Drosophila melanogaster: one gene and its partners. The protein of the gene in region 1 interacts with the protein of each later gene in a pairwise test. Each region holds a gene or a part of one and is shown on either strand. Other genes may lie near its edges. The genes, in order: CG10918, CG10737 and CG11269.

What was found.
Region 2: the proteins of CG10918 (region 1) and CG10737 interact in a two-hybrid assay, tested with the Drosophila melanogaster proteins (one large-scale study listed by BioGRID).
Region 3: the proteins of CG10918 (region 1) and CG11269 interact in a two-hybrid assay, tested with the Drosophila melanogaster proteins (one large-scale study listed by BioGRID).

The regions. Positions count from the first base shown.
Region 1 is NC_004354.4:21,427,978-21,430,882, reverse strand, and holds CG10918 (uncharacterized protein), read left to right. Parts: upstream 1-1,626; 5' UTR 1,627-1,639; coding exon 1,640-2,191; 3' UTR 2,192-2,269; downstream 2,270-2,905.
Region 2 is NT_033778.4:19,162,063-19,165,828, forward strand, and holds the start of CG10737 (uncharacterized protein), read left to right. Parts: upstream 1-2,080; 5' UTR 2,081-2,113; intron 2,114-3,101; exon of another isoform or gene 3,102-3,766.
Region 3 is NT_033778.4:22,136,939-22,139,912, reverse strand, and holds CG11269 (uncharacterized protein), read right to left. Parts: upstream 1,019-2,974; 5' UTR 972-1,018; coding exon 648-971; 3' UTR 618-647; downstream 1-617.

The DNA of each region.
Region 1 (2,905 bases):
GGGCAAGCGCAAAAGCAAGAGGAATTGGGAGAACGCAGAAAAAAAGGCGGAAAAAGGGGAAAAGTACGGGAAAATGAAGGAAAGCCGTAGGGGAAAGCAGAAGAGGGACAGCGAAGAATACCTAGAACCACCAGCTTCTCTGAAAACCCAAAAGATTGTATCCGAAAATTATATTGACACGGTCGTGAATATGTGGCGTCAGTTTCTTCAGCCACACACACACATATGTACTTACTTTTGACGCAAAAATTAATTTTCATTTATATTTTTTTTTTTTTTATCTAAGCCGCAAATTTCTTTTTCTTTTTCTTTGTCATTTCATTTTCATTTTACTCCAAACGAAGTCACCCACCTTCCGGTCCTCGAAATTTCAATTTAAAAATCCCCATATGTGCGGAAAGCGGGAAACGCCATTCTATATTCGCGATTCTTAAACGCCACCCACTCCCGCCGCCCAACTAGGTGTCCTTGTCTCAGCCGCACATTTCACTCGACGCCCTGATTGATTCTAATCAGAAAATTAAGTGGCTCCTCGAGGTCGTTTGCCATGTATTAGCACTAATGTTAAAGATTTCTCTTCCTCGACATCCGCAACTCTCGAATTGGGAAAGTCAGAAAAGCTGTTCAGAGCTTTACTTTTCAGGAACTTAATCCACATTCACTCTAAGATGTTCGATCTTCTATACATATTTTTTTATTAATATAAGAAATATATGTTTATTACTTGGCAGTTGATATAGATAGATTTTAGACATAAATAAATGGCGCAAATGAAGGCTAAGCATGTGTATTTACAAATCAATTGACTTATTTCTGCGAATAAGTGTTACCAATTGAAAGGCCTTAAAAACTAATGAATTTACATAGTTCCTAACTTTTAATAAAGCATGAGAAAATTCAACTTTCGATGCTGGAGTATAAAACAATGCTATAGTCGAGTAAACCGACTAACAGATACCCGTTGCATACGCTTCTACGACTCTAGTATACCCCTTTACTCAGCAAGTAACAGGTATAAATATGTAAATGAAAAAATGAACAAAAAATATAATTTTTCCGACTGAGTCATAGATTTTAAGAGAACTTTTAAACGAGTGCTATTAGAATAAGTAACCCAGTTGTTGACAACAAATAAACAAAGTAAATAAACAAAAATTTGCAGTAGGGTTATAAACCTTCAAATAGACATTCATTTTCTTCTAAGCAAATTTACAATTCGTCTTAGTATTTGGCTAACGTTATGATTGTTTTTTGTTTCATTGTGAGGATACTGCGTAAATTTCTGTAAACTTCCCTCTCTGACACAGCACTTTTTTTTAAACTCAAACGGTTGTATTAAAATAGAAGAATAGAACAATGGAACTAATTCAAACATCGACCAGCTGTTGCCACACGACGAATGAAACAAGAGAAACACACGGATTATTAGATGCGAAGAATTCGAGCTCAGCTCTTCAGGGAGTTCTTCGCTCTATTTTCCATTCTTCGGAGTATCCAGCTAAGCACACAGCCAATGCTGCCGTCACGGGGGATTCTTAGCAAAAAGGCTGATGGATGAATTCGACACCGAATTTTTGGGTATAAAAGGGGCTACACGTACATAACTCAAATCAGTTGCTATTGGAGCAAAAGTCCCACAATGCGTGCCTACATTGCAATTACCCTGCTGGCCCTGGTGGCAGTTGTCGTGGCCCAAGGGGGAGGCGGAAGACGTGGTGGACGCGGTGGCGGCGGAGGCGGTGGCCGAAGTCTTGGAGGATTCGGAGGACGTGGAGGCGGTGGCTTCGGCGGTCGCGGTGGTCCTGGTGGTACTGGTGGCCCCGGTGGCTTCGGCGGACCTGGTCGCTTTGGAGGGCCTGGAGGACTTGGCGGTGGTGGAGGATTCGGAGGTCCCGGCCGCTTTGGCGGTCCCGGAAGCTTCAATGGTGGATTCGGCGGTCCTGGCGGTTGGGGCCCACGTCCACGTCCTCGTCGCCCAAGACCTTGGTGGACGACAACGGAGAGTTCCTTGGCCGACACCAGCAGCACAACTAGCAGCTCCTCCAGCTCCACCGACAGCAGCTCCTCTGCCAGCTCCACTGATAGCTCCACCGATAGCTCCACCGATAGCTCCACCGATAGCTCTACCGATAGCTCCACCGATAGCTCCACTGATAGCAGCTCCACGGAGAGCACTACTGGTTCGGGATAGATTCTGAGTCTCAATTGCAGCGTATTGAAAACTTTCTGGGAAATGTATGAAAATAAAATCTAATTGGCACATTGAAACTTAATTTCATTAACTTGGAATATATTAGTCATATACAGTCATATTAGTCTTACAGACTAGCCGAATCTATTCAGCAATGTCCGTTCGTATTAAGACCTTTGATTCGCACCAAAAAATATCTCGATTAGCATATGAGATTGAAAGCTGTCTCTTAAGAGAATTATCGTTTCTGTTATTTCTTCGATATCGACAGGCAAATCAATCATCTGATTAATGAAATATCATCATTTGTTATCATAAAGTAAACAGCATGAAGGCTAGTTATTTTGATAATTTAATTTTGGCAGCTGCCTGCCGAATAGCTCTATTAGGGCAAATTGAATTTTCAATAAGTGGTAGGCTAAGCGAGAATTGGACATAATAGGAAACACCCGACACCGCTGAGAACACCACATGACATATGCTGCACCATTTCGAGTCCAAAGGGGTGGTGCAACGAACGGGGGCACGGGCACAAACGTGCGGGGAACCTAGTAGGAGTAGGGACCGAAAATCCGGACGCCATATAGAAGAGGGCTGAGAGTGCGGAATGTCCAAATCCAATAAATTGACCAATAATGAACGCTCGAATGCAGCTCGAGGCGAGAGCGCTGTGCAGTGGGTGAACGTGGGAGCAAAGTTGAAAAGCCAAAAAAC
Region 2 (3,766 bases), on another chromosome or scaffold:
GACATCTATAAGTTATGTAACTAACTCTGTTGTACATTATTTTGCATAAGTCTATAAGCCAATTTTAGTGTGAGAACAAGAGAATTGCTTGCAATCTTCGGTATATCGTAATCATCCCCCCCTTTTTTCGTTTGTTCTCCATACTACCCCACCTCTACCTTTTAGTTTGTTATGCTCGCCGGGATTTATCTATTGTTTCGTACCAAAAAACAACAAAATCAAAATGAACAACGTTTGTAATTATACATAGAACGTATCTCTCTATACACAGCCACAAAAACATGCATATATATATATATATATATATGTGGTTTAATATATATGGACTACTCATTAAACTAACCTAAAGGGAACTAGTATTACGACTCAAAAACGAAATGAAAACAATTCCACAAACGTCATCCATCAAAGCTCCTGAAAAAATGGAAAAACTCCACGCATTTCCTACAACAAAACCACAACATTTTCCTAAGCACACGATCTCATACGACTCAATTTAAGAACCAGCAAGTCTTCAGCAAATCAGAAACATAAACAAACAAACAAAAAAAAAAAACAGTTCAAAGCGGAATTGAGCGTGGTGTTCAGGACTCAGAGTTAGCTCGAGCAACTTAGCATTAGTGTCACACGAATAATTACTGCGATCCAGCGATCTATACGATCTATACAGCGAAATTAGAAAGCTAAATTAACAATCGACTGCTGCGTATTATACATATTAATAATACTTATAAATATATAAAGGAACGCCCATAAATAATGTACACTCCCCCCAGACTCGGCGCAAAATGCCGCTCCTGAACATATGCGTACCAATTCAACTTCCATATACGACTAAGACTAAATAGCGAAATTATTGAAAGATAGCAGGCCAAGCAAATCGGAAAAAAAGGTGGATCAGATAGTGGGAAAGCGGAAGGACGAAAGGAAGGACACGAGGCGGGAGCAGAGGAAGGATAAAGGATAAGAAGAGTTTAGTTCTTAAGCATAAAGAAGTGAAATTGTTTATTAAGTGGACAAAAATTTATTTATACTGAAAAGTGAAAGCGATAGAGAGTGGTAGTTGTGTATAATTCGAATACATATATACATTTTAATTTTTTGTAATTTAACAATAATTTATATTGACTGTGCGAGGTTGCGTCGATATATGATATATATGATTATATAGAGTATATGAAATACCTAGTTATATGACGGCCACACACACGGTCCGGTCCGGTGTGTATGTAAATGTTATGATTTTTGTATTTTTATATATGATCTTTGCATTGCGAAAACAATGGAAACAATTTAATATTAAACACACGTAAACTATTTTAAACGAAGCAAATGAAAATCGATGCGCCTTGCAGTGGGCGCAACCTTTTTATGTATTAAATTAAATATATTATACACTTATATACAACCAGAATATTCAATATACATACAAGAGATGAGGAAACGATGTAGCAGCCAGCATTGACTCGAGATCAAAATATATATTAAAAATCAGCAACGGATTCACTTAGATCGTTAAGGGGCGTAAGTTATAGAAGCGGCGGCGATCGGGAAACGAAGTAGAAGCGCAAAAACATTATATGCATATTCAACAAAAGAACGTAAAGTGAAATAAACAGCAACGTTTGTATGTAAAAAAAAAACCAACATTTGTTTCAATTTTCTACATTTATGGCAGTAAAGGTCTTGGACTATTAGGCTGCTATTTTTCAGATTTAAAATTATTATATTATTTATGTTTGAATTTTGCAGTTTAAAACGAGCTGCTTTCCCGCTAAAAATGTTTTGAGTTTAAAGGATTCTGCGGTTTGGATTCGAATCATAGTATATGGAGTTGCCACAAAATCTATGTGTTGCTTTATCGATTTTTCAATGTTGAAACTTATAAACATGGATACAATTGTTTCTTCCAAATTTACAATGAACTTAAAAACTAAGATCAATAAAAAATATATTTTTTAGAAACCATGTTGCGCAACATTTGCAGGGAGCAACAAGTGCCTAAACATGGCTATCGATACCAAGACGACAAATATCGATAATTTTTCTTCTACTCTTTTAACATTAATGTTATGAGCGAATGTTATTCTCTCTTTGACATTCAACGAGTAAGGTTGGTGTTCGTTTCGTTCGCGGATGAAAAATAAAATAGCGGCGGCAAAGATTTCTTATTGTTCCTAGTGCTCAACAGAAAAAAAAGAACATAAAATAAAGAAACAAAATGATAAAACGAAAGCTTATTCGATAAGCGTGTGTACGTTGTATATGGGAAATTTGGCAACAAACCGCAAAAATATTTGTTGTACCGCAGCAAAATATTTAAAAAGCATTGCAGAAATATACAATTTAACATATAAACTGTGCGCGCGTGTTTCTGTGTGTGCGTGTGTGGCTATGTGTTGCTTGTTCTACACAAAAACAATTTATTATAATGCCGAACTTAAATCGAAATTAAAGACTGCCGAAAAGCAGCGTTCTTCATTGATGCTGCAAACAGCTGATTGTCTCGCTCTCTCTCTTTCTCTTCAGTGGTTCTAATTGTTGTTGTTGTTATTGTGGCTGGGGAAATTTAAATGTTGGCCAAGTTTAAATAGAAAACCACTAAAGCGACTGTGTGGCCCAGTAGTAACGTGTCAGTGTAAAGTAGTTAAAACTAAAACCGGGTAGTGCAGTGTAAAGCACACAAAGGCCAACGGACAATCTACATAATTTGAATGTTATGATTTCTTATCGAAGACATTCAAATATAACAGAGAAACAATCGCAAAAGAAACTTTTATGAGCAAGCGGAAGCAACCGACGACATTGAACTTAAGTTTGAATACAACACAGGCGAACTTGAATAACTCGATTGTATTTTATTTAAACTTGAGTGGCTTCCACTATTCTGTTTTTGATTATCTGTAACTTGAGTGGCTTCATTCGATTTGAATTTAAATATTGTGGAATTTTTAATGCTTTACTAAATTTTATATAGCAAAATGCCAATTTCAAGCGTCAAAACTTAGATTTACACTTTTTAGCATAAATCGAAAATATTGTTATTGCTGAAATGACGACTTTATTGAACAAAAGATATCAATTGTGTCTTTCAATTTTAGTTAATTTTACGGAAGTTTGTAAAATTCTTCACACGTCTACTCGATTTGCCTCGCCTCCCCTCTTCGCTTCTCCTTTATCGCCATCTTCGCAACGAACAAAGTGACAAAAACACAACAAAAAAAAAGAACAATAACAAACGAAAGAATTTCATCATCAACGCGAGAAGAGCACGACTATCTTCTATCTCGCTGCAGCGAAATAGTTAAATAATTTGAAAAATATTAAGTAATAAAATACGAAACGGCATTATTTTTGAGACAAGAATAATCGGCAGTGTTTTGGTAGAACTTTTTGTTGTTTGCACTAAATCGAAATTCGTAGGAATATTATTTGCTAACGTGGCCTTTAAAATTCGGTCAACCGTGTGAGTAGAGCATATAAAAATTCAGTGAAAACACCATTTGTTTACTATGTGTGCCAAGCTTTTCCGCCCGCCACCACCACCCCCTTTTGAAAACCAACCACCACACTCCCTCTCCTTTATCGATTTGCATTTCGCACAGAGAAATTGCTGGCCCTAAATAACTGGCTCTGGAATTTAATGAAACTTTTATATATTTGGCCACCTAACTCACGTGCAAACCATACTGAAATACATGCACATGAATACCCACAAATTGAGCAGGGTCTAAGCTTTTTGTCACTAATCAATCACTGGGTATTT
Region 3 (2,974 bases), on another chromosome or scaffold:
ATTATATAGAAGACCATCCATGGAGGAAATTTAGAATATTTCCCAGGTATTGCCAGATCTCCAAATCAGTTAACCCGAGTTCCCGAAAAAATGAGTAAATGCAGTGAACCAGTTTTCAGCAGACTGCACTTGGTTGGTGGTGATAACAAGCCAGATACACAAGCGTACAACTAGAAAATCGTGTACGATAATTTACACAACGGTTTTCGTGTAAGACACAAAAGCTCGGTCGATAAGAACAAGATACATAACCCCGGTGTAGACTAGACTACGGTATAGAGGTGAAAGGGGGGGGAATAGCCAGAACTGGGAACCCACACCCCATTCCCATTAGCATGTTTCGGAAAGAGAATTTCACGGAAATTTATGATGCCCAAAAGAGAACACACCTCGGTGAAGGTGTCACGTGCGCTGTCAAAAATCGGTTGGTCCGAGACGAATGCATAATGCGGAGTGGACAACAGTCAGCCAGACTTGAAATCGAAAAGTGGCTTGGCGATAAAGAAGTTAAGGCTAATCGCAGAATGCGGTCAACAAACTGGTTCTTTCGATCTTTCGAACCAACAAGTGGGTGGACGTCGCTGAGTGGGTGAAATGCAATTGGAACCATGAAAATAAATTGTTTATTCAATAACCAATCATACAAATCAACGACGGAATCGCAAGTGACCGGGACCCCGCTTGTAGAGTCGCTTCCTTCTCTTGTTATCCCGACGAATGGCCACTATCGCAATGAAGACGAATCCCAGATAGAAAACGGCGGCTACAAAGCACCGTGTGGACACGTCCTGGTAGGCCTCGTCCGCCTGCTCCTTGAAGGCCTCCTGACTGGGGAAGTGGTGGGGCAAGGGCAGGGACTCCAGGAGCATCAGTGACTGGACGTAGAAGAAGATACCCAGCAGATTCAGCATCAAGAAGCCCCAGGCGCTCATGAACAGGCAGAACAGACAGCACTTGCGACCACAAAACATTTTCAAGCTCGATTCAATTCTATGCGAACTTTGTGCGACAGTGTAGTCGAGTGTTGCTCTGACCGCAACAGGTGCCAAGTTTAAGCCGACTTCGAAAGCGAAACCGAATCCGAAATCGAAATCGGAATGTATTGGACCACATACTATTCATCCATCTATCTACATACGCTCGTACACAAGTACAACCTTGTGCGATTTCAGCGGCATTAGATCAGAGTGGTCGGAATATGGAGTTCACGTACCCGTGCCTCTCGCTTTCGGCGGCGTTGCGATTGGGTTTGTTCAACTCGAAATGGCTTAGATTCGGATTTGATCTTAGCCAATGATGGACAACTGACAGATATATCATTTGCACACATACATATGAGTATGATATAGAAGCAGCTCAACTTATTAACACTTGAAAAGCACGTCAAAAAAACGATGTATACAATATACTTCAGAACATCAAGCTTATGCAGAACGAAGACCTGCAATATATTTGATATTTCAAATCAGTGGCTGCATTTAGTTCTGCGTATTTATATATCAGAAGTGATTTTTAGAGAACTGAATGTAGGCCATGCCAACCAAGTAGCTGATTCATTAAAGGGCAGCCTCTGATTTGAATTCCCCTTGTGAATCATGCTCAAGAAATTGCAATAAAAATAGCCAACTAAATAAGTTTAAGCAATAATTAGCACAACTTACCGTGAGTGGTTGATGTTCTCGATAAATCCGCAGAGCAACAAAATTTTTGCCACACTTGCAAAGAAGAAGCAGCAGAAGAATTCACAATAAAGTTTTTACTAGTTTCTTGAAACTCCGTTACAAAACATCAAGTTGTTGTGAAAATTCGTAAGTCGTTTTCGCGGTTGCTAAACCTTTTTTACACTCTGTTGTTTTACTAACGTTTCCTTTATTATGTTTGTTTATGCGAATTGTCGTTAGTTTTATGGGTTACTAGACACGATTAGAGAGAAATCAAAAATTAGGAAAATTAAACAGAATTGATAAAATATTTTTTACTTATTGCACCACGTGTTGCAACTTGAGACATAATAGGTGTCAGCTCTAATTGAGTAAATATGTTTTGCTGGTAACTTAAGCTGCGGATTTCGTACAGCCACAGAAAATGGGGGTCAAGTCCATTAGGTTAAAACCCGATCCCCAAGCGAAAGACCTTGACATTAGGGCGGTTGCTCACTGAACTTGGTAATATCTTAAGTGTCTCGAATTCCCTTTGCGCAAATCAATCAACTTGTCTTATGAGAGCACGAAGAAAAATGAAAATAAGATCACTACATTTTTATTTAAATGATATTTCATAGCTTATTGATATATTTCTAATGAGTATTAACCTAAAGTTTGATCTTATATTTCAAGAGACGGATGTCAAAATATTATTCTTCGCTGATTATTTTCTCAGTGTGGGATTTCAGTTACAGTTATATGGTTGTTATTTGCCTTATTTGCTTAGCACATTCTTCTTTACAATCACACAGACACTTGCTTTGATTTGTGTATTCGTTTTTGTTGTAAGCGCAATTATCAGTACAAACATTTATAATAAAAAAAATTGCAATTTCAACAAAAAAAAGTGTTTAGCTTTCAGTTTAACTTTTAGCTTGAATTTGTTAATGTCTTCACTGAATTTTATTTGTGCTTTATGAAAATATAATGTACACACTGATAAGAGAATAATTCATTTTATGCTATAATAATTCACTTTATATATTTATTGTTTCTCTCACGTTTGTGATTCGCTTTGGGCATTTGTTGTTAAATCGGTTTGTTTCGCACTTTGGGACACTTCTCGATATTTAAACATAACATGTTTTTACGAATTCGCTTCTCGAAAACCGGTATGCAAATCCAAAAATCACCGCAATATATTCAAAACTATTTAATTGTATTTATCGAATTCTTCGTGCACCTTCACTTCGAGTTCTCGACTCCGATGCGACCGCCGCGCTACGAAAACAAAGATTGAACACGAGTTGCCTTGCGATGTGGCTTAAATA